Linked DNA regions of Saccharomyces cerevisiae S288C. Each later gene encodes a partner of the first gene's protein in a complex. Each region holds a gene or a part of one and is shown on either strand. Other genes may lie near its edges. A codon is read from its position in the direction of its gene.

The links. The genes of interacting proteins can lie anywhere in the genome.
Region 2: the proteins of REV3 (region 1) and POL31 are in contact, whole or in part, in a cryo-EM structure (PDB 7LXD), measured with the Saccharomyces cerevisiae proteins. Residues at the interface, in NP_015158.1 of Saccharomyces cerevisiae: Glu722 (codon at 4,529), Asp723 (codon at 4,526), Thr725 (codon at 4,520), Thr728 (codon at 4,511), Lys729 (codon at 4,508), His732 (codon at 4,499), Cys733 (codon at 4,496), Phe846 (codon at 4,157), His850 (codon at 4,145), Lys851 (codon at 4,142), Arg852 (codon at 4,139), Lys868 (codon at 4,091), Ser870 (codon at 4,085), Thr871 (codon at 4,082), Lys875 (codon at 4,070), Thr1423 (codon at 2,426), Thr1425 (codon at 2,420), Leu1426 (codon at 2,417), Ser1427 (codon at 2,414), Leu1429 (codon at 2,408), Ile1430 (codon at 2,405), Leu1433 (codon at 2,396), Lys1434 (codon at 2,393), Gln1436 (codon at 2,387), Lys1437 (codon at 2,384), Tyr1439 (codon at 2,378), Gln1440 (codon at 2,375), Lys1443 (codon at 2,366), Val1445 (codon at 2,360), Arg1447 (codon at 2,354); in NP_012539.1 of Saccharomyces cerevisiae: Ser51 (codon at 3,690), Gln52 (codon at 3,693), Tyr53 (codon at 3,696), Tyr54 (codon at 3,699), Tyr57 (codon at 3,708), Gln58 (codon at 3,711), Val93 (codon at 3,816), Leu94 (codon at 3,819), Gln97 (codon at 3,828), Tyr109 (codon at 3,864), Cys110 (codon at 3,867), Glu111 (codon at 3,870), Met112 (codon at 3,873), Lys113 (codon at 3,876), Tyr114 (codon at 3,879), Thr126 (codon at 3,915), Tyr127 (codon at 3,918), Gly128 (codon at 3,921), Ala129 (codon at 3,924), Pro130 (codon at 3,927), Leu132 (codon at 3,933), Thr133 (codon at 3,936), Lys134 (codon at 3,939), Tyr136 (codon at 3,945), Thr137 (codon at 3,948), Glu140 (codon at 3,957), Gly141 (codon at 3,960), Glu149 (codon at 3,984), Glu151 (codon at 3,990), Ser152 (codon at 3,993).
Region 3: the proteins of REV3 (region 1) and REV7 are in contact, whole or in part, in a cryo-EM structure (PDB 7LXD), measured with the Saccharomyces cerevisiae proteins. Residues at the interface, in NP_015158.1 of Saccharomyces cerevisiae: Asn554 (codon at 5,033), Pro555 (codon at 5,030), Val556 (codon at 5,027), Asn560 (codon at 5,015), Lys561 (codon at 5,012), Pro562 (codon at 5,009), Tyr563 (codon at 5,006), His576 (codon at 4,967), Val577 (codon at 4,964), Ser578 (codon at 4,961), Ser591 (codon at 4,922), Val592 (codon at 4,919), Asn594 (codon at 4,913), Pro596 (codon at 4,907), Thr597 (codon at 4,904), Phe598 (codon at 4,901), Asp599 (codon at 4,898), Met600 (codon at 4,895), Phe601 (codon at 4,892), Ser602 (codon at 4,889), Ser603 (codon at 4,886), Trp604 (codon at 4,883), Lys605 (codon at 4,880), Tyr606 (codon at 4,877), Ala607 (codon at 4,874), Leu608 (codon at 4,871), Pro610 (codon at 4,865), Pro611 (codon at 4,862), Thr612 (codon at 4,859), Tyr613 (codon at 4,856); in NP_012127.1 of Saccharomyces cerevisiae: Asn25 (codon at 2,634), Val26 (codon at 2,631), Tyr27 (codon at 2,628), Pro28 (codon at 2,625), Gln30 (codon at 2,619), Ser31 (codon at 2,616), Asn49 (codon at 2,562), Arg50 (codon at 2,559), His51 (codon at 2,556), Pro52 (codon at 2,553), Leu54 (codon at 2,547), Tyr57 (codon at 2,538), Glu60 (codon at 2,529), Leu61 (codon at 2,526), Asp64 (codon at 2,517), Tyr73 (codon at 2,490), Cys78 (codon at 2,475), Lys82 (codon at 2,463), Asp137 (codon at 2,298), Phe141 (codon at 2,286), Glu142 (codon at 2,283), Ala143 (codon at 2,280), Val144 (codon at 2,277), Ile145 (codon at 2,274), Asn146 (codon at 2,271), Ala147 (codon at 2,268), Ile148 (codon at 2,265), Glu149 (codon at 2,262), Leu150 (codon at 2,259), Glu151 (codon at 2,256).

The regions. Positions count from the first base shown.
Region 1 is NC_001148.4:230,416-240,785, forward strand, and holds REV3 (DNA-directed DNA polymerase), read right to left. Parts: upstream 6,693-10,370; coding exon 2,178-6,692; downstream 1-2,177. Other genes in the region: MEX67 (Mex67p), read right to left, coding at 1-423; MRX4 (Mrx4p), read left to right, coding at 802-2,094; ATG29 (Atg29p), read left to right, coding at 6,923-7,564; SET6 (Set6p), read right to left, coding at 7,541-8,662; mismatch repair protein MLH3, read right to left, coding at 8,935-10,370. UniProt on the Saccharomyces cerevisiae protein: Nonessential DNA polymerase. Required for DNA damage induced mutagenesis. Involved in DNA repair, mitochondrial DNA repair and translesion synthesis.
Region 2 is NC_001142.9:445,663-452,633, forward strand, and holds POL31 (DNA-directed DNA polymerase delta subunit POL31), read left to right. Parts: upstream 1-3,539; coding exon 3,540-5,003; downstream 5,004-6,971. Other genes in the region: APL1 (Apl1p), read left to right, coding at 261-2,363; LSO1 (Lso1p), read right to left, coding at 2,815-3,096; SUI2 (translation initiation factor eIF2 subunit alpha), read left to right, coding at 5,358-6,272; MHO1 (Mho1p), read left to right, coding at 6,768-6,971. UniProt on the Saccharomyces cerevisiae protein: DNA polymerase delta (DNA polymerase III) participates in chromosomal DNA replication.
Region 3 is NC_001141.2:86,011-91,897, forward strand, and holds REV7 (Rev7p), read right to left. Parts: upstream 2,707-5,887; coding exon 1,969-2,706; downstream 1-1,968. Other genes in the region: AXL2 (Axl2p), read left to right, coding at 1-1,827; tropomyosin TPM2, read right to left, coding at 3,220-3,705; TMA108 (Tma108p), read right to left, coding at 3,938-5,887. UniProt on the Saccharomyces cerevisiae protein: Required for DNA damage induced mutagenesis. Involved in DNA repair, mitochondrial DNA repair and translesion synthesis. Has a role in the bypass of abasic (AP) sites.

The DNA.
Region 1 (10,370 bases):
GGAACTAAAGACGCCCTTTTGAATTAGCTCGGGATCTGAATGTAAAGCGCCCAAATTTAGTAATTTTGTTTGTGGGTCATACCTCTTAAGGAGCACCCCCCTCAAGAACGAAATGGTGTCTGAAGTTCCCGCAGAGGCCCCATTGTTATCTAAAAGTTCGAACTTTAAATTACTGCCTGCAAACCGGACACCGTTCCATTTCATTAACGATTCTGCTTCTGCCTTTGAGTTGACATATCCAATAACTAAAGGTCCTTCCACATGAGCGTCATAAACAGCTACTCGAGCGTTGCGGCTTATAAAATTAATCAAATCGTTCATGGTTGCATTCTGCCAGTTCCTCACGCTAATCTTTATTCTATTTTGTTGCATCTGCTGTTGAGCCATCATATTGATATTTCCAACATTGTGAAATCCGCTCATTTTTTTTGCTGCTATTAGCGATGCAGAATTTTTAACGATTTATTTTACTCTTCCTTCTTAGAGTAAGTATGTCTTCAACAGTCTGTTACTATTTTTTTTTCTACATACTCAATTCAGCTCTTACTGAAATTTTCTTCTGGAAAAAAAAGGAAGACGGGTAATGATGATCTTATATAACAGTATAATCTGTAGGTATATTTATCGTTAGAATCCTCTACGAAAGGCAAGTGGGCATGGATTTCTAGCTTTTGAAGCCGCGTTTAAGTTTCTTCAGAATTAATATTCGTAGAAATTTTCTGTTCTTTGCTTCTTTTCTGAGCTTTGGTGGAATAAACTTGGTTCCATTCAACTTAAAGGAAGGAGGAAGTACTGTTCAAAATGACAGTTTTATACACATCTGCATCGCTGAAAAAAATGAAGTGCTTGGCATTCAACATGGGCATGAATTGCGTACGAACAGTATCTCATGCAAGAAGTGGAGGTGCAAAATTTGGAGGACGGAATGTATTTAATATATTTGACTCAAAAACTCCTGATTCAGTGCGTATAAAGGCCTTCAAAAACACAATATACCAGTCTGCCATGGGCAAAGGTAAGACCAAGTTTTCTGCAATGGAAATTAATCTCATAACAAGTCTAGTGCGCGGATATAAAGGAGAAGGTAAGAAGAACGCGATAAATCCTCTCCAAACTAACGTGCAAATTCTTAACAAATTATTACTAACACATCGATTAACAGACAAAGACATATTAGAAGGAATGAACCTGGCAGCCGGTCCTGTCAATGTTGCTATTCCTCGAGACATAACACCGCAGGAAGAAAAGAAGAAAGTTGAACTAAGAAATCGAAAAGCAGAGAATATGGATCTTCACCCGAGCAGGAAGATGCATATTAAGGAACTTCTACACTCTTTGAACTTAGATATGTGTAATGATGAGGAGGTTTATCAGAAAATATCACTTTACTTACAGAAAAATGAGGAAAGCAGGACTTCAGTGGGTGCCTCGCAACAAAACCACGTAGATATCGATATAAACTCCCTAAAACGCTATCTACAAAATATTGAAAAGAAGGCACGTCAAAAAAGTGCCATCGATAAACAAAAAAAGAATCAAGCTCGTATATATCAATGGAATACTCAATCCTTCTCCGAAATAGTACCCTTATCAGCTGGAAATATCTTATTCAAAAGGGAACCCAATCGCTTATGGAAACGTTTACAAAATGGAATAAGTGTATTTTTAGGTTCAAACGGAGGAGGAAAAAAGAGTAAAACTACTAAAAAAGTACTTCAAGGGAATAACATATTGTTACACTCATTAGAAAACAATAAGGATATGACCCTGTCAAACAACTTTGATCACAGTGTCTTTAACATCAATTTTACGGACTTATTTGGCGTTATTAATGCATCTGGGTCCCCACCAGATAGAGTTTTGAACGAAATTAATGAGATCGAATTAAAAGGTTGGAAATGTGTGGGGAACTTATACGATAATAATAAAATTGTAGTTTTTCAAAGTAGCAATCCACTCTTAGAGGATACGAAGATTCCTCAAAAGTCTTTCACTAATTCAAAGAGATTCCTTATTTCACTCTCAGCATTGCTGGCCTCCTTTTTTGCATATTATAGATACCGTCTATCTCAACGTCAAGAATCAAAGAAATGATTTTTTTCTTTCTTGTATATAACAACGTTATACATAGAAACAAATAACTACTCATCATTTTGCGAGACATATCTGTGTCTAGATTACCAATCATTTAGAGATATTAATGCTTCTTCCCTTTGAACAGATTGATTATCTCTCAAGTATCTTTCTGCTTTGACACGAGAGTAAAATACTGGACAGTCATATGAATTGCATTTACTAGCTATATGGTCATTTTCGATGCCTGCATCGGAAGTGTAACGATAACTGCACGTCCTGCACACGGTCTTTAGTGTTTGGTATTCTTTTTGTCTCTTTAATTTCTTTATGAGAAATGATAAGGTTGTGGTGCTTCTTTTCTCTAAACAGTCATCACATAACTGAAGTGAACATATTTTAGTCAATTCTTCACCACAATTACAACATGTTGCAGAAGTTCCTACTCTTGTTATGTTTTCCACTTTTGTAGTAGTTGTGCTCGCCCTTTTGGATTTTACTATTTCCTGAGCCCAGTTGCCAACATTTATACCAATCAAATTGAACAATCTATCAAGAGGAGGTATCAGAATTTTGTTTATATAATACTCCGAATCTAACTCTAAATTCTCACCTTCTAAGAACTCTTCTGGTGATACGCATCTTTCCCGAAGCAGTTGTCCTTGCTTTCCTTTAACAACAAGGTAAGGTATACGCTCCTTGTATTGGGGTTCTGCTCTATGGTCTTCATTTATTCTTCTTTTTACAACCACGGCACCTGCAGGGGCTGTCTTTTCGCTTTTATACGCTCCTAATTTAACTTCTTTTGCAAAACAAAAATCTTGGGCAGATACCTTTCCTATTTGAATCTTAAAAAATTCATTTTGAAGATACTTTTTTATTTTTGACAGGTCTTTGGTTTGAAAAAGTAATCGAATACATTTTTCAATAATCTTCTGCTGGGCTGGGATACCATCCCTTCTAACAGTTTCAATACCCTTAGCATCAAAAATAGGAAGGGTCTGCGAAGGACTTTCATAGGAAAATCCTACGTACCTTTTTTTGCTAATTAATATGGAGGGATGGTATACTTTTTCAAACTTCAAAAAGATTGGTTTTGGATTGTTTTGAGTAACTCTTTCTGCCATAGCATGTCCTATAGAAAAAGCCTCAATAGCAGTTTTTCCAGGTAGATATACAAATAAACTATCTGTGTCTCCATAGACAACTTTGGCGTTCCAAGTTTCATCTTTCTCAATAATATCTATTGCTTTCTCCAATGTTTCTCTGCCTGTTTGTACAATGCTATCAGCTAAATCAGAGCATGGCATTCGTCCAGAAAATGAAGCTGATGTATAACCGTAGGTGACATTCGCCAATAATTTTAGTGCTAACTGTTTGTTATTCAAAAGCCTTTTTAGGGTAGTGTTGTCATCACCTATTTCGTTCATTGTTTTCTTTATCATCACTCTGACATCAAGGATATCTGTTAACATTTTGGATAACGTTGATTTTCTAACAGAGGTCTTGGCATAAACAACACCATTTGGAGCGATAGTTACATCATTTTTTAATAAAGCTAAAATGTTTCTTGGTAATGAAAACTTAGATACTCCAAGGTTATTTTCCGTTAAGTTTATTTCTCGCACTCTTCCTATCATAGTCGAATAGCAATAGTTGTATCCAATCATAATGGATGGATACAATGATTGGAAATCCAGCACAATTAAAGGACTTTTGTAGAAAGCAGATTCTGGCTCCATAACCAAAGGCACACATTCAAGTGCTTTTTGCTTACGAACATCCTTTTTGCCTGGAGAAAGAAGGATAAAACTTTCGGACTTGCATATTCGGATTAAAAAAGACTCAACTTTAAATTGTGATCCTCTGTAATATACAGAATGGAAATCTATTCCTATCAATCTTGCCTGTTCGATATTTCGAGCAATGTAATCCTGCTTTCTTAATAGTTGTATATTTATCTGAGCTCTTGATAACCAATAATTTAACACAGTCTTTAATTCGGTTGTGCTCTTTTTAGCGTTCCACATATTAGTTAATGACTCAAATGAAAAGTGAGGTAATCGTTTATGGAGGATATTGAACGCAGCACTTTCAATAGTATATTGCGTTAAATTTACGTCGGACCTCAACGCTCTCCATATATTAATCATATGTCTTCCGGTAATCATAATTCCTGAGGAATGGGCATATCCCCAAGTATCTGACAACTTCGTCTTAATTTGGCATTTGACTCTGGCAAGTTCCCTGACAATGTCAAATTGATGTATTTTTTGACACCTTTCAATTATATAACCCCACGAAAAATTATGTATTTCGAAACCGGAAAGAATATCAGGATCAAGAAGTAATACCAAATCAGTTAGAGCCTCAAACATTTCAAATTCACTTTCATAGAACATCACGGGAATTTCGTTAATACAATGTTGAATTTTAGTAGGAAATGTACTATCCTCAGAAGCTTTGTGGACTATCATAATCCCTTCGTAAGCGATATCCAAATCTAAAGGGAAAGTTTCTTCTTCAAGACACCATATAATCATGGAAACTTCATCTATTGCAGGGTCTGGAATTTTATCACTTCTCGTGTTTGCATGAATCTCAAGTGTCAGATGAGTAAGAGAATCGTGAACGCTACTTTTTTTTCTTTTTTGTTTTCCAGAAACGTCACTAGCAAATTTGTATAAAAACTTACTATGAGGGGTGTGCATGCTTATCTGAGACTCAGTTTTTTTGTTTCCCATCGAGGGTACTTTATTGTACCATTTTTGAACAGCATCATACGTAGGTGGTTTTAACGCATATTTCCAGGAGGAAAACATGTCGAAAGTTGGCTTGTTATAAACTGATACGGTCTCTCCCCCAAATTGGACGGGTATTCTCGTTGATACATGTGTCGAGCTTATTTCAAACCTCTTACCTGCGTACGCGTAAGGTTTATTTTCTAGATCAACTGGATTCGAAAAGAAAGGGTCCTTATAGTCTATTTTTGGGAATCCCTCGTCTTCCAATTTATTCAGAATATCTTGATAACCGAAAGGAGGCTCACCATAAACAAAGGCTCTTTTTCCATAGCGTAATCCCGCAGCCATAACCTTCTTTCTTTTCCGAGACAGCAACGATGTTTTATTAGCAGAAACAGATGATCTAAGTTTTCGTTTACTTGCCATATTTTGCGTCATAGCACAATCCATTGAAAAATTTATCGTATTGTGATATTTTGTTTGATGATCTAATAGTATAGTAGAATCTTTCGGAGACGCAATGCTTTCCGGTAACCATGAATAAGACCGAGACTTTATATTGCTTCCTTTTACACCTTCGTTCTCATTATCAACACCACATATCTCGTATTCGGTGAACGATGCATTAACTTGGTCGTCGTTCTTTTTATCTTGCATACTATTATTGTTTATTTCAATCTGTGGAAGCCTTGGCCACAATTGCGGTAATGCTTCATAGGGCGTATTTATGGCTGAGAATTTTTGATTCTTATCTATAAAGTTCTCAAAATTTGGTATTTGACCATCAAAAGTACTTGTTTTATGTTGTGCTTTCTTATAAAACGCTTCGAACTCTCCAGAAGATTGCCATTGATGACCACTCACATGGCGCTTTGTTTCTGGTGGTTCTTTATATTCCTTCAAGGACAACTCCTCTCGTTGCATGGTAAGTTCATTTATCATGTCCCTAGCAGAGGATACATATGGTTTGACAGGTATGTCAGAAATATCTCCCAGTTTTTCCAAAAAGTCGTGATGTATATCTCTATGCTGTAACTTTTCTCTATTTTTGATGAATTGCGGTAGTATATCTATCTCAATCAATCCATTTCCAACCCGTGGAAAATCCCTTCTACTGAGTACGTTACACTTGAAGTCACAAAATCGATCTAGTAACAACTGAAGATCATCATTAATTGTCAGCTTATCTATGTCCAGTATACTATTTAAAACAGGAGAGCGAAAATAACACCTATCCACGTTTATCCATGAACATCCAAATAAGTTAAAATCTGCGGTCCATTGTAGCAAGTAAGGAATATGTGATTCATAAATTTCGAATTTCTTTCCGAAAATCTTGCCATCTCTAATCAATTCCGAAATCCTACTTAGACAAGAAGGATTAAGCAAAGAAATTTTGTAAAACAGATTCCAGCCAACGTGGTAACCATAAAATGGTATACCCTTTACAACAGAGACATCAGCGACAAAATTGAGATTTCCAAGTTTGTCGCCGGCTAAATCGTGTTTATCATCTTTTTTCCTTTTAAAGGATGCCCTAATTTTTACTTCCAGCGTTTTATGAACTTGGGCACATCTTTGGTGTCTCAATGTACTCGTGTCAGTTATTTGTCCATCATACTTGATGAACATGTAAGGTAGAATGCCATGGACGTGGCACAATACTTGATGCCCTGTGGGTAAAGCACCAAACACCCTGATGTTTGGGACCTGTGAAAACTGGTTTAAGGGCAGGCTTTCACCGTGCGATGGGTCCAAAAAGGTGGGTTTTGACATATAGTAGTCTTGATTATTTAGCTGGATTCTAAAATAGTCTGATTTAGAGGATGATCTAACCGTATCGCTCTGTATTGTGTCGTTCGACTCCCTCGACATTTCCAAACATTTTATTTCGCCACAACTTGTAGTTTTGTATTGACTCAAATACTTTCTCTTGTTTTGTGCTTCTATTACAGAGATGGCTTTTTTCTTCAAGTACACTATTTCTAGACGCACTGCACTCGTCAAAAAAATGATTCAAGGTGAAAATAAAGGGGTGTTAGTGAATACTTATCAAGAAGAGACATACATAATTGTACTGCTGTGCATTTTCCTACTTGACTTTCATGATTATGAATAGTACAAACACAGTTGTATATATCAAAGTTAAGGGTAGGAGACCACAGGGATTCTTGGATCCTCCCAAATTTGAGTGGAATGGAACAAAGGAGCGACAGCTTTGGACAATGGTATCAAATTTGAATTATTCACAAGATCAAATAGATTGGCAGAATTTATCAAAAATATTTGAAACGCCTGAATTTTTTCTTAAAAAGAGAACATATAAATTATTTGCTGAACACTTAGAGCTTTTACAACTACAATTGGAGAAAAAAAGAGATCTTGAGAAGTATTCAAATGATCAAGTGAATGAAGGGATGTCTGATTTAATACATAAATATACCCCTACTTTACAAAATGATAATCTATTAAATGTATCCGCAAGCCCACTGACCACGGAAAGACAGGATTCTGAAGAAGTTGAGACAGAAGTAACAAATGAGGCGTTACAACATTTGCAAACTTCCAAAATTTTGAACATTCACAAGAAAACATCGGATAGTGAGAATAAGCCTAATGACAAATTGGATAAGGATGGTATTAATAAAGAAATGGAGTGCGGTAGTTCAGATGACGATTTATCTTCGAGCTTAAGTGTTAGTAAATCTGCGTTGGAAGAAGCGCTAATGGACAGATTGCAATTCTGATTTACATCTTTCACAAGCACAATCAAAAAACCAACTGTCGGCCAAAAAGGCCCGGCGTTTTACTGTTGGTAAGTCCAGTACCCCGGAATAATCGATACAGATCTGCTCATCCTTTTTTATATCTCTATTCATAGTGAATAGCATTGAATTACCTTTACGATATTTCGTTATATTGGGGTTACAAGAGTGGTTGAAATAGGAGGCTTCTGGAAATACCCAGTATCCAAAATATTCTCTGCTGTCTGAGGCTTCGCCCTCTTGCCATAAACCAAAAGCATTCCCATATTCAGTACCTAATATATGTCTCAATAGCGGTATGGAGAGCATTCTATGCAAATGTGAAGGTAATAGAATATAGAGTGTTTGAAATACTAATTTTTGAAAGTGCAGTAAGACAGGAAATTTAGATATTTTGCTAAGCTCATTCGATTGTAACATATTGAAAGCTCGGTATGTTATGCACTGAGGATCCATATATTTAAGATTAAACAAACTCTCGCACACAAACCTAATGCAGCAATATTCATCTTCGCAAGTGGGTGGTAATTGATTTATTCTCTTCGCAGATTTCATGTTGTTGATGCGCGGTATCCATTTACTTTCAATCTCATCCCATGAAGACTGTATGACATTTTCCGAAATTAAGATAGAGTTTAATTTTTCCTCCTGTTCAGAGGTATAATTATATCTTTTCAGCATGCTTGGAAAATGATGCAGTAATATCTCATAACATTCAATTAATTCAATGATATTTGGTATTTGAAGATAAGAAGTTCTGCAATGTTCTGAACAGAACCACAGTCCAGCGCCCAGAAACTTCTTAGGGTTAATTTGGTAGTGTGCATTACAAACCAAATCTCTCAGGTAATCGTAGTTTAGTTTGTACTTCATAGTTTTCGCATTAGCGTATGCGAAACAATTGTGACAAACTTCCTTCCTGAACTCATAGGAAATAGATGTTCCTGTAAAATTACTGACTTGCAAGACTGTTGTCCCTTTAGGAATATTACCATTACTGAAACAAGCCCTACCGCCCCATTTAGTTTGCCTAACCTGGAAAAATGGGGAAATTTCATGTACGTCTCCATCAATAGTCATTTTTAAATTTTAGGTTATTTTGTGTTTGCATATATAAATGGTATATATATATATATATATATTCATATAAATCTAGGGCTACATTTATAATATCAGAGATACATAAAACGGTAATGCAACAGTGGAGCAGTATTGTATCGCACGTTTCTTTTTTGTTTTTGTTTTTTAAATTTTTCCAGGTTTTGACAACGTGATGAGGTAATCTTCTGTTTTGCATATCCGCGCAATTTAAAATGCAGGCGACAAACCTTGTTCCAGGATTAAGGTTCTCTTTACTTCAATTCTGCAATGGGTACCATAGAAGGTCTCCCGTGGGCGCATTCGAATGGGTTATGGCATCGCGAGAGCTTGCTAATTAAAATTATGCACTCTTGCCGGGTTAATTCATCTCCAAACATAACAGCAGATCTGCATGCCTTGCTGTTAAGAATTTCATGAAAGACCGTTGGAACGCAGCTTGAGTACTTCCACCAATATAATTTATCAACCGAAGTGTAGTTTTCGAAATGGGATAAATCCATTGGAAGTTTTTTGAAATCCTTCAGGTCATGAGCATGTTGCAGCAAGACCATTTTTAAGTAGTCTTTATCCCCGTTATATTTGGAAGTTAACATCTCAGGCAGTGTTTTAATTTCCAAAAGTGAGGTTTCCATTGTTCCCTCAATTGTTTCATAGCCAATTCCCCACTTTTTAAATTCACTTTGATAATGCTTAAATAAGTCAGCCTCAGTACGATCAACTTCAATGCAACAATCCTTGAGGTCTCGTGCAACAAAAGTTCCGGTTACAACTTCTGTCAACAGGCTATAAAATAGCTCTTCTAGTCTTATCCTCTCATCGCAAGCATGTTGATCAACTAGAACTAATAGTGGGCAATTATGAATAGATTGGTCTAAACAACGTATGAGAATAAATTTTTTATCTACTTGATTAATCACTTCATATTTTGCCAGGACAGATCTTGATATTGAAAAATCTGTTATGGTTTTTCCTATACTGTCATAATCTTCTGTAAAACCACTATCGTAGGGCCTGGAAGAGAGTTTATTCCGTAACCTTGATTTCTGACCGTCGATTCTTATATTCTTGATTTTTTCGTAGTTTATTGTACTATTGTTTATTCTACATCCATTGACAGCGGGTTTTCCTATGTATGAATTAATGCGTGCAATCTTCATTTTTGAATTTAATACTTGATTACGTTTACTGATTTGGATTCGACTATCAGGCAATGTTGCCGTCTTCTGTGAACAATTGACTATTTCGAAAGATGAATCTGATTTATCAGGCGTTAAGTATCCTTGAAATGTCAGAAAGGAGCGAATGGTCTTAACGATCAATGGTTCAATGGTACGTATATGGGAAGGCTTAACAATTTTCTTTGCTGGATCTTGTAACAGGTCATCGATAGTTTGGGGGCACCGAACATCAAGGATGAAGACGGGATGTGATCGATACGGTTTTCCCACGCTTTTAGTTTTGAGTAAACTCATGCCTTTCTCCCCGAAATCTTGTGCTTGGAATAAAGAATCGACGTATCCTTGAAAGGCGCTGTCCGCATAACGTCTGCCATTGATATATATAAATTGAAGATCCTTCAATCCAACGGGCATCTTCGATATGATCCCTTCAATCTGATATTCATTAAACTTCAAGGAAACTTTCTTAAGCATATCCGGTGGTATTATTGCCCCAAACACATTTCTCA
Region 2 (6,971 bases), on another chromosome or scaffold:
AAGCCTATTCCCATTCATGCATATCACTTACCTTTCCTTAATCATGATCTCTTTAGTGCCATCAGAACTATTTTCTTAACATCGCGATTCTGTCTTCCGGGTATCGCTCCAAAAATGTGCGAGGAAATAGGAGATCGTTCAAATCATCAACTTTTAGTATTGGGTATCAAAGTATCGCAGCCTGGAAACAGAATTAATCTACTGCACAAGAAGGGAATACAGCAAGAACATTCACTTCATTAATAGGACGTATTTCGCTTATGTCCGATCAAAAAGTTTTTGCCAGATATAAAGCAAATGAAATCGTCACAGATCTGCAACATTTTGGAGTAAAAAAGTTTAAATCGAATATAACAAGAAGGAAAAATGCTCTGAGAAAAATTATCGCCAATTTGGTTCTAGGAAACTATGGCGAAATGTCCGTTCTGTTTTCTGAGCTCTTGAAATTTTGGCAAATTGAAGATGATCTAGAAGTGAAAAGAATTTGCCATGAGTATATTAGGGTGATCGGCGCATTAAAACCTCAGCAGGCCAGAGAGGCTTTGCCATTTATAATGGACGATTTCAAAAGCAGAGATGAAAAGTTACAAATAATGGCACTAAGAACTCTGGTATTAGTCCCGGTGAAAGAGCTATCTGATCAGGCCTTCGACTGTATCATTTCATTGGTAAATCACAAGTCTCCACCTGAACAAGTGACGAGGACAGCAATTTACGCACTGTTGGATTTAGATGAAATTGATCATGAAAGGGTATTGGGGTTATCAAGCATTCTACATGACATTGTAAAAGCACAGTCGAGCTCTCCAGAAGTCATTGTAGCTGCATTACATACTTTATATTCCATTCACGAAAAAAACGCTAACATGGAACCCTTCAGGATTCCCTTGGAACTCGCTTTTGACATGCTAGAGCTTTTACCCGAATTAAATGAGTGGAATAAGGCTACTGTTTTGGAAGTTTTGACGACTTCGGTTGTGCCGCAGCATTATTTGGATACCCATGAAATGATCGAACTAGCTTTACCGTACCTGCAACAAGTAAACACATACGTAGTGTTGAACTCTTTAAAATTCATCATGTACTTGTTGAATTATGTTGACGTCATCAAAGAAACTCTAGCCGAAAAGCTATCTAACTCTGTAATAGCTTTGTTAGATAAGCCGCCTGAATTACAATTTTTAGTATTAAGAAACGTTATTCTTCTTTTATTGAGTAGGGAGTCATCTCTACTCAGGCTAGACATTTCGTATTTTTTCATCGAGTACAATGACCCCATATACATCAAAGACACGAAATTAGAGTGTTTATATCTTTTAGCTAACAAGGAAACATTACCAAGAATTCTAGAAGAGTTGGAACAATATGCTACAGATATTGATATTCAAATGTCAAGGAAATCAGTCAGAGCCATTGGTAATCTGGCTGTTAAGCTAGATGAAGACTCTGTACACGATTGTGTCGCTGTTCTACTAGATTTGTTAGAATTCGGTGTTGATTATGTCGTCCAGGAGATTATTTCGGTTTTCAGAAATATTTTGAGGAAATATCCCAATAATTTTAAAGCAAACGTAACAGAACTAGTCAAACACACTGAAGTTGTACAGGAACCTGAATCAAAAAACGCTATGATCTGGATAATAACGCAATATTCGGATGTAATTCCAAACTACCTGGAGTTATTTAGAGTTTTTTCCTCAAACATGTTTAGTGAGACGCTAGAAGTGCAATTTTCCATTCTGAACTCAGCAATAAAATTCTTCATCAGAAGTCCTACAAAGGAAACTGAAGAACTTTGTATGGATTTATTAAAAGGATGCATCGATCACGAAAATAATCCTGACTTAAGAGATAAAACACTGATGTATTGGAGATTGCTGTCATTAACGAAAACGTCTCGTATATCAAACGCGATAACTTTTGAATCTTTAAAATCAGTACTGGACGGAGAGTTGCCACTAATAGAAATGAACACGAAATTAGATCCCACCGTTTTGGAGGAATTGGAGCTAAACATTGGTACAATAGTATCGATTTACTTAAAACCTGTTTCTCATATCTTTAGATTGAATAAAACCAAACTGCTACCACAAAGTCCTATTTTGAATCCAAACAAAGACCTCTTGCCAGTTGTAGGTAACTCATTTCCTCCAACTGGAGCTAATAGGGACCGTCAAAATTCAGAAAGCCAGTCCTCGACGAAGTCCAGAAAGACTGCTATGATGGATGATTATGATAAGCCCGCTGAAAAAATTAATCAGTTGAAAGGTAAGCGTAAATCTAGTTCAAACAACCCCTCAAAACTATCACGGAAACCCTCAACTTTATTAAGAAAACTCTCTATGAAACGGCCCTTTTCGTGACTGCAAATGATACTAATTCCTGTATTTAAATATACTCATATTTAACGAACAATTATGATGAATGAAAAAACCTGATATAATAGACTTAACTAAGCGATCATAAAAAAATTCAAAAAGTTATTTTATAAAACAATTCAGATGTTAAACTAAAGAGTTAATGTAATATATATACAATGAACTGCGTCATAAATTCCCATAGTTCAGCTCATGGGACATTATCTACTTATAAAGACGTGGCTTGGCAGCATTTCATATATAAGGCTACTGAATGTAAATTTTTCTTCCATTGTCTTTCCCGTGTCCCGAGAACTCAATTCAAGCACTGTTCTTGGGCGTAATAAACCTTCCGGTACTACTAAAATCAGACAAAGGCAGGAAGCCTCGATTTGACCTTTTAACGGGTAAAGCTCTAAAAGTTGCTCTCTGCTCCATATTCTCGTTTTCCGTCATTTCAGTATCTTTTTCCCCTGCCTCCCTTACCTAAAGCTTCCTCTTCGGCGGCTAGTAATTGGTCTCTTTCCTTTTTGGCTCTTAGCTTCTCTGTCTTTTTTTGTTCCATAATCAGCTTCTTCTGGTTAGGGGTTCTCGCACCTTCTTCCCACCTCTGAGCTTCTTGAGCTTCTAGTTGTTGTTTCTCTAGTTGGTCCTTTTCGTAAGCTTGCCTACGTTTTCTTGCTCTTCCTGCTGCCACTTTTTTGGCAGTTTCTGAGTATCTCTTGCCAGTATTATGCATGTTCGCTTCTTCACTATGTTTGGTGGTTTCTAATGACAACTATGCGGTTAGCAAACTTCCAAAAGGCGGTTAATAATACGACTACACATTATCCTATATATATATATATATGTACGCAAGTGCTTAGATTGGAAAAAAGGGTGCAACATTCTCGATTGTTCTATTTCAGCCTGTTGATATCAATCTGTCGTTCAATGCTTTGTGGGTGTGCTTTACCCACTCTTATACAGTAGTTAAGTGGCAAAAAGGGTGTCAAAGGGAAAGGAAAACCAGAGGAAAAGCAAAATAGCCGCCAATACTAACTCTAGATTTATATCATGTTATACGATTAATCAGACGCGTCTGATTAATTTCAAAAGTTAAAATATAAACTATTTTTGAAATCCCATTGCAATAAGCGAACTATAGCTGAATCTTTCCTGCAAAAATGGAAGTGAAGGGCAATGGACGCATTGTTAACAAAGTTCAACGAGGATAGAAGTCTCCAAGATGAAAACTTGTCCCAACCACGAACGAGAGTAAGAATTGTTGACGACAATCTTTACAACAAATCGAATCCATTCCAACTATGCTATAAAAAACGTGACTACGGTTCTCAGTACTACCACATTTATCAATACCGTCTAAAGACTTTCAGAGAACGCGTCTTAAAAGAATGTGACAAGAGATGGGATGCGGGCTTTACCTTGAATGGCCAATTAGTTCTAAAAAAGGACAAAGTGTTAGATATTCAGGGAAACCAACCATGTTGGTGCGTAGGATCCATATATTGCGAGATGAAATATAAACCAAACGTACTGGACGAAGTGATCAATGATACATATGGTGCACCAGATTTAACTAAAAGTTATACTGATAAAGAGGGTGGTTCTGATGAAATTATGCTCGAAGATGAAAGTGGGAGAGTGCTTCTAGTGGGAGATTTTATTCGGTCTACACCCTTCATCACGGGTGTTGTTGTAGGTATACTGGGTATGGAAGCTGAAGCCGGGACATTTCAAGTTTTAGACATATGCTACCCCACTCCTTTACCACAAAATCCTTTCCCTGCACCAATTGCTACCTGCCCCACCAGGGGAAAAATTGCTCTTGTTTCTGGGTTAAACCTCAATAATACATCACCTGATAGGCTATTGAGATTGGAGATTTTGAGAGAATTTTTGATGGGGAGAATCAATAACAAAATTGACGACATTTCTCTAATTGGTAGATTACTGATATGCGGCAACTCTGTTGACTTCGACATTAAAAGCGTGAACAAAGACGAATTGATGATTTCTCTAACTGAGTTCAGTAAATTTCTACACAACATTTTGCCATCTATATCTGTTGATATTATGCCCGGAACCAATGATCCAAGTGACAAATCTCTACCGCAACAGCCTTTCCACAAATCATTGTTTGATAAGTCCCTAGAATCATACTTCAACGGTTCTAACAAAGAAATTTTGAATTTAGTGACCAACCCATATGAGTTTAGCTATAATGGCGTAGACGTTCTAGCCGTTTCAGGCAAAAATATCAATGATATTTGTAAATACGTAATACCATCAAATGATAACGGAGAAAGTGAAAACAAGGTCGAGGAGGGCGAGAGTAATGATTTCAAAGACGATATAGAGCATCGCCTGGACCTTATGGAATGTACAATGAAATGGCAAAACATCGCGCCCACCGCACCTGATACCTTATGGTGTTATCCGTACACTGATAAGGATCCATTTGTATTGGATAAGTGGCCCCACGTTTACATTGTGGCAAACCAGCCATATTTTGGAACAAGAGTAGTGGAAATAGGTGGTAAGAACATAAAGATAATATCTGTCCCTGAATTCAGTTCTACTGGGATGATAATATTACTGGATTTGGAAACGTTAGAAGCAGAGACGGTCAAGATTGACATTTAAATAAAACAAGGAATAATTTCCACATAGATATGCAATTAAGTTTTATATGTAAAAGTGAGCATTCATCGTTCAGCTCAAAATACGTTTCTTGTCACAGCTGGTAGAAAAACTATGAGCGTTTTTTCTTACCCGCAGTCGGAGAAAAATTTTTTCTTCGAAGAGGCGAAAAAGAGAAGAAGAGAAAGCACAAATCTGATGAAATAGTAGTATAAAATCGCATTTACAAATTTTCAACCATTGTTTATTTCCTAGGTCATTAAAGAGTAAAGTGCAATCTGTTTACTAATCAGTTTTTGTCTTCATATTTTTGTGTCTTTTCTGCTGCCTCACGCACCTTCTATAATACACCAAATAATGTCCACTTCTCATTGCAGATTTTATGAAAACAAATACCCAGAAATTGACGATATCGTCATGGTTAACGTCCAGCAGATTGCTGAAATGGGTGCTTATGTTAAATTGTTAGAATATGACAACATTGAAGGTATGATTCTACTAAGTGAATTGTCCCGTAGACGTATTAGGTCAATCCAAAAATTAATTCGTGTTGGTAAAAATGATGTCGCCGTTGTTCTTCGTGTCGACAAAGAAAAAGGTTATATTGATTTGTCCAAACGTCGTGTTTCTTCTGAAGATATCATTAAATGTGAAGAAAAATACCAAAAATCTAAGACTGTTCATTCCATTTTAAGATACTGTGCCGAAAAATTCCAAATCCCTTTGGAAGAACTATATAAGACCATTGCTTGGCCATTAAGTCGAAAATTTGGTCACGCTTACGAAGCTTTCAAACTATCCATCATTGACGAAACTGTTTGGGAAGGTATTGAACCGCCATCAAAAGATGTTTTAGATGAATTAAAGAACTATATCTCCAAGAGATTAACACCACAAGCTGTAAAGATTAGAGCCGATGTTGAAGTGTCTTGTTTTAGTTACGAAGGTATCGATGCCATTAAAGACGCATTAAAATCAGCTGAAGACATGTCCACAGAACAAATGCAAGTTAAAGTTAAATTAGTCGCCGCCCCATTATATGTTTTGACCACCCAAGCCTTGGATAAGCAAAAAGGTATTGAACAACTGGAAAGCGCTATTGAAAAAATTACAGAGGTTATTACAAAATACGGCGGTGTTTGCAACATTACCATGCCACCAAAGGCTGTCACTGCTACTGAAGACGCTGAGTTACAAGCTCTATTAGAAAGCAAAGAATTAGATAATAGATCTGACTCTGAAGACGATGAGGATGAGTCAGACGACGAGTAATCATTGCCGCGCCTAATTTTTCTAGGTGTTTTCAAGTGTCATACTGTTTTAGAAAATTTTGTATAGAACAAATACGTATATCCTGCCATATCATATTCTTTGCAATATACACCTTGTACATTTGGCTATTATAAATATTACAATCCATTTAATCATAATCAAAATTTAATTTCTGTTACCACGGGGTTGTCAGTGGAGCATGCCCTGCCGGTTCTCTATAATTTATCTTTTTCACATGAGATATTTTTACCTCAAAAGGTAGTGATGCTGTAATAATATGAGGCTCCCCCCTTTCCTTCGGAATTGCATTTAAATCATTGGGGAACACTAAGACAAGACAAAGGGGCCGTCCACTCATGTGATTTTCAACAAAACAGATAACATGCGGATACACACTGATATATTTTCAAAGGAAAGTCTGACTGATACTTAAGTGAAGTGGTCCTAGTCGGTGGCTTAGGTGGACTACAGTGCAAAGAATAGAATTTTTCAAACATGTCAATACGTCCAGCAACACATGCAGGCTCATGGTATTCCAATAGAGCCCAAGAATTATCTCAACAACTGCATACATACTTGATCAAAAGTACCCTTAAAGGCCCAATTCACAACGCCAGAATTATCATATGTCCTCATGCCGGTTACAGGTATTGTGGACCCACTATGGCCTACTCGTACGCATCGTTGGATTTGAACCGT
Region 3 (5,887 bases), on another chromosome or scaffold:
GCTCCAGAAACAAGCTACAGTTTTGTCATCATCGCTACAGACATTGAAGGATTTTCTGCCGTTGAGGTAGAATTCGAATTAGTCATCGGGGCTCACCAGTTAACTACCTCTATTCAAAATAGTTTGATAATCAACGTTACTGACACAGGTAACGTTTCATATGACTTACCTCTAAACTATGTTTATCTCGATGACGATCCTATTTCTTCTGATAAATTGGGTTCTATAAACTTATTGGATGCTCCAGACTGGGTGGCATTAGATAATGCTACCATTTCCGGGTCTGTCCCAGATGAATTACTCGGTAAGAACTCCAATCCTGCCAATTTTTCTGTGTCCATTTATGATACTTATGGTGATGTGATTTATTTCAACTTCGAAGTTGTCTCCACAACGGATTTGTTTGCCATTAGTTCTCTTCCCAATATTAACGCTACAAGGGGTGAATGGTTCTCCTACTATTTTTTGCCTTCTCAGTTTACAGACTACGTGAATACAAACGTTTCATTAGAGTTTACTAATTCAAGCCAAGACCATGACTGGGTGAAATTCCAATCATCTAATTTAACATTAGCTGGAGAAGTGCCCAAGAATTTCGACAAGCTTTCATTAGGTTTGAAAGCGAACCAAGGTTCACAATCTCAAGAGCTATATTTTAACATCATTGGCATGGATTCAAAGATAACTCACTCAAACCACAGTGCGAATGCAACGTCCACAAGAAGTTCTCACCACTCCACCTCAACAAGTTCTTACACATCTTCTACTTACACTGCAAAAATTTCTTCTACCTCCGCTGCTGCTACTTCTTCTGCTCCAGCAGCGCTGCCAGCAGCCAATAAAACTTCATCTCACAATAAAAAAGCAGTAGCAATTGCGTGCGGTGTTGCTATCCCATTAGGCGTTATCCTAGTAGCTCTCATTTGCTTCCTAATATTCTGGAGACGCAGAAGGGAAAATCCAGACGATGAAAACTTACCGCATGCTATTAGTGGACCTGATTTGAATAATCCTGCAAATAAACCAAATCAAGAAAACGCTACACCTTTGAACAACCCCTTTGATGATGATGCTTCCTCGTACGATGATACTTCAATAGCAAGAAGATTGGCTGCTTTGAACACTTTGAAATTGGATAACCACTCTGCCACTGAATCTGATATTTCCAGCGTGGATGAAAAGAGAGATTCTCTATCAGGTATGAATACATACAATGATCAGTTCCAATCCCAAAGTAAAGAAGAATTATTAGCAAAACCCCCAGTACAGCCTCCAGAGAGCCCGTTCTTTGACCCACAGAATAGGTCTTCTTCTGTGTATATGGATAGTGAACCAGCAGTAAATAAATCCTGGCGATATACTGGCAACCTGTCACCAGTCTCTGATATTGTCAGAGACAGTTACGGATCACAAAAAACTGTTGATACAGAAAAACTTTTCGATTTAGAAGCACCAGAGAAGGAAAAACGTACGTCAAGGGATGTCACTATGTCTTCACTGGACCCTTGGAACAGCAATATTAGCCCTTCTCCCGTAAGAAAATCAGTAACACCATCACCATATAACGTAACGAAGCATCGTAACCGCCACTTACAAAATATTCAAGACTCTCAAAGCGGTAAAAACGGAATCACTCCCACAACAATGTCAACTTCATCTTCTGACGATTTTGTTCCGGTTAAAGATGGTGAAAATTTTTGCTGGGTCCATAGCATGGAACCAGACAGAAGACCAAGTAAGAAAAGGTTAGTAGATTTTTCAAATAAGAGTAATGTCAATGTTGGTCAAGTTAAGGACATTCACGGACGCATCCCAGAAATGCTGTGATTATACGCAACGATATTTTGCTTAATTTTATTTTCCTGTTTTATTTTTTATTAGTGGTTTACAGATACCCTATATTTTATTTAGTTTTTATACTTAGAGACATTTAATTTTAATTCCATTCTTCAAATTTCATTTTTGCACTTAAAACAAAGATCCAAAAATGCTCTCGCCCTCTTCATATTGAGAATACACTCCATTCAAAATTTTGTCGTCACCGCTGATTAATTTTTCACTAAACTGATGAATAATCAAAGGCCCCACGTCAGAACCGACTAAAGAAGTGAGTTTTATTTTAGGAGGTTGAAAACCATTATTGTCTGGTAAATTTTCATCTTCTTGACATTTAACCCAGTTTGAATCCCTTTCAATTTCTGCTTTTTCCTCCAAACTATCGACCCTCCTGTTTCTGTCCAACTTATGTCCTAGTTCCAATTCGATCGCATTAATAACTGCTTCAAATGTTATTGTGTCATCGTTGACTTTAGGTAATTTCTCCAAATGCATAATCAAACTATTTAAGGAAGATCGGAATTCGTCGAACACTTCAGTTTCCGTAATGATCTGATCGTCTTTATCCACATGTTGTAATTCACTAAAATCTAAAACGTATTTTTCAATGCATAAATCGTTCTTTTTATTAATAATGCAGATGGAAAATCTGTAAACGTGCGTTAATTTAGAAAGAACATCCAGTATAAGTTCTTCTATATAGTCAATTAAAGCAGGATGCCTATTAATGGGAACGAACTGCGGCAAGTTGAATGACTGGTAAGTAGTGTAGTCGAATGACTGAGGTGGGTATACATTTCTATAAAATAAAATCAAATTAATGTAGCATTTTAAGTATACCCTCAGCCACTTCTCTACCCATCTATTCATAAAGCTGACGCAACGATTACTATTTTTTTTTTCTTCTTGGATCTCAGTCGTCGCAAAAACGTATACCTTCTTTTTCCGACCTTTTTTTTAGCTTTCTGGAAAAGTTTATATTAGTTAAACAGGGTCTAGTCTTAGTGTGAAAGCTAGTGGTTTCGATTGACTGATATTAAGAAAGTGGAAATTAAATTAGTAGTGTAGACGTATATGCATATGTATTTCTCGCCTGTTTATGTTTCTACGTACTTTTGATTTATAGCAAGGGGAAAAGAAATACATACTATTTTTTGGTAAAGGTGAAAGCATAATGTAAAAGCTAGAATAAAATGGACGAAATAAAGAGAGGCTTAGTTCATCTTTTTTCCAAAAAGCACCCAATGATAATAACTAAAATGAAAAGGATTTGCCATCTGTCAGCAACATCAGTTGTGTGAGCAATAATAAAATCATCACCTCCGTTGCCTTTAGCGCGTTTGTCGTTTGTATCTTCCGTAATTTTAGTCTTATCAATGGGAATCATAAATTTTCCAATGAATTAGCAATTTCGTCCAATTCTTTTTGAGCTTCTTCATATTTGCTTTGGAATTCTTCGCACTTCTTTTCCCATTCATCTCTTTCTTCTTCCAAAGCAACGATCCTTCTACCCATTTGCTCAGAGTTCAAATCGGCCTCTTTCAGTTTATCCATTGCTTCCTTCAGTTTGGCTTCACTGTCTTCTAGCTGTTGTTCTAGATCCTGGTTTTTCTTGGTGTAGTTCTCATTATTAGATCTCAAGTTATTGGAGTCTTCAGCCAATTGCTTTGTATCAGACAATTGACTCTCTAACTTCTCCACTTCACTGTCGAGTTGCTCGTTTTTAGCGGACAAAGATTTAATCTCGTTTTCTTTTTCAGTGTTAGATTGCTCTAATTCTTTGAGCTGTTCTCTCAGCTCCTCATATTTTTCTTGCCATGACTCAGATTCTAATTTTAAGCTATTCAATTTCTCTTTGATCTTCTCCATTTTGCTAATTGCTATTTTAGATGCTTTCTCAACCTCATGAGAAAAAAATTACTAGATTAATATTCCTTATGTTTACATTCTTTTATACCAACCTATTATTGTTGAATCTACAGGTTTTTCGTAGTATATGACAATAATAACTCGAATTCTGCTAAGAGAACATCGTTTATAGTACTATTTTAGAAGACTACTAAATCTACGTACGATAGTGTGTTGAAATACTTGTAAAAAATCAGACCAAGGAGGCCAAGTCTCTTCTTATAGTCTTTCTGGACTCTTCATCTTGCTGGACAGAGGCCCAGATGTCGTCCAAAGATAACAAGCTTTGACCCAACTTCTCTTTCTCCAAATTAATAAACTTTTCTATCTTCTGTGGCTCGTCTGCTACAAACATTTGAAAGATTATCAGGGAAATACTCCTTAACGCCTTGTGTAGATGATCCCCCGTGGTGGTACCTTTCCTTGTAGCCTTCCGTGCCCATTGGTCAAAATTGCCCATATACCACTCCCAGATCGTTTCACGAACGACTTGGTCTTGAGGTTTCTCGTTTTTGTTCAGCCTCTTCTTAAAGTTGTAATTAAATCCGAATAATGCCAGTTCCATCCCCTCTGACTCAATATTGGAAGTGATAAAATTCAAAGTTTTTTTCACGATATCAGAATCTAAACAGAATCCAAGAGATTCTATTGCACCGTTTTGAATCAACATGGCGGTTTCGCTACTGTTTTGGTCATACATATTAATGACATGGTTTGTGATACCAGTACAGGAACTGCGTTTCACCAAATCGAATATTTTCTTCCACTGCTTGATGTTTGCACAATGTTGCGATACGACGACAAGGATTGAGTTCACTAATTCTAACGGTACGCTCGAACGTGGGCCCTGTAATAGATGTTTAAAATAAATTTGACACAATTCAGCACATTTTGCGGAGTTTTTATTTAAAAACAAGACTTGAGACATGACTTTCAACTCGTGAGGGTTTGTGCTTTTATCAAATTCACCGTGGGGCCAATCAATCTTATTGAAAAGGGGAATGACAATTTTTTTCTTTAAGAAAGATTGTAATTTAGAGCTCGTTAAACTGGCACGATCGATCGTTTGCAGAACTTCCAACCCCTTGGAAAGAGGATCCCAATATTTTGATGCAATCTTTGTGGAAGGAGAAGCGATATGGTTTAGTATCTTAAAGAGACCGTGCAAATGAATAGAATTCTGGAAACCCTCATCTCCAATAAACTGCGACAAGTCTAAGAAAATCTTCCGAAGGTCAATCTCGGATAACGTCTCCTCAGTTATTTTATCATTAATCAATGCATAGCACTCTTCGGACTCATATGAAACGCGGTAATAACCTTGGGCTAAATGGTTAATTACTAAGATAGGATAATCGAACTTTAAGGTCCTATCCGTCAATAGTACATTTTTAGTATCCATTTTACCATCTGGCAGAACCCCGAATAAGGGTACCTGATATGGGACATCTTCTAACTGATCCTTTTCTTCAGTAGATAATTGATTGATAAATCTGTGTTGAGTCAATTTTGTTTGCGTTTTCCCGTCTTTCTCTTCTACTTCGACCTTAACGACAGGTAAGCCTGGCGTTCTTGTCCAAGATGAAACAAAGTTTGTAATATTTTGAGACTTCAAAAATTTTCCGATATGATTCCATATATCCATTGGTTTGACGCTTCTCGCATGAAATGTTTTAGTATCTTCAAATACACTTTCCAGGCCCTTTTGTAGATGAGATTCGCCTGTAGCCAATTGCAGGGACCTCAGCATGATAATACCCTTTGTGTATGCCTCAGGATCAAAAATATCGGAGGTTTGAGAATCTATGCCAGTGTTCCGTTGCGCAATCTGAAATATGCTTCTTCCATTAACGTCAGCTGCATCTCTGCACATGGTCGGCTCCACTTGCTGTAGTAAATAAGGTTCCGAGGTCCAATAATGGGATAGGTCACCATTCTGTTCTAGTATGTGGCAAGCTAACCAAGTAGCGAAAGACTCATTAAACCAAAGAGATTCCCACGAGTCAAAAGATATGTAGTTGCCCATCCATTGATGAACGAGTTCGTGGACAATGAGTTGCTGTGCTTGCTCTCTGACGGTTTCATTGGCCAAGGCATTTGGTGGTATGAGCAGGTGGTTTAGTTGGATGGTGATCATACCAAA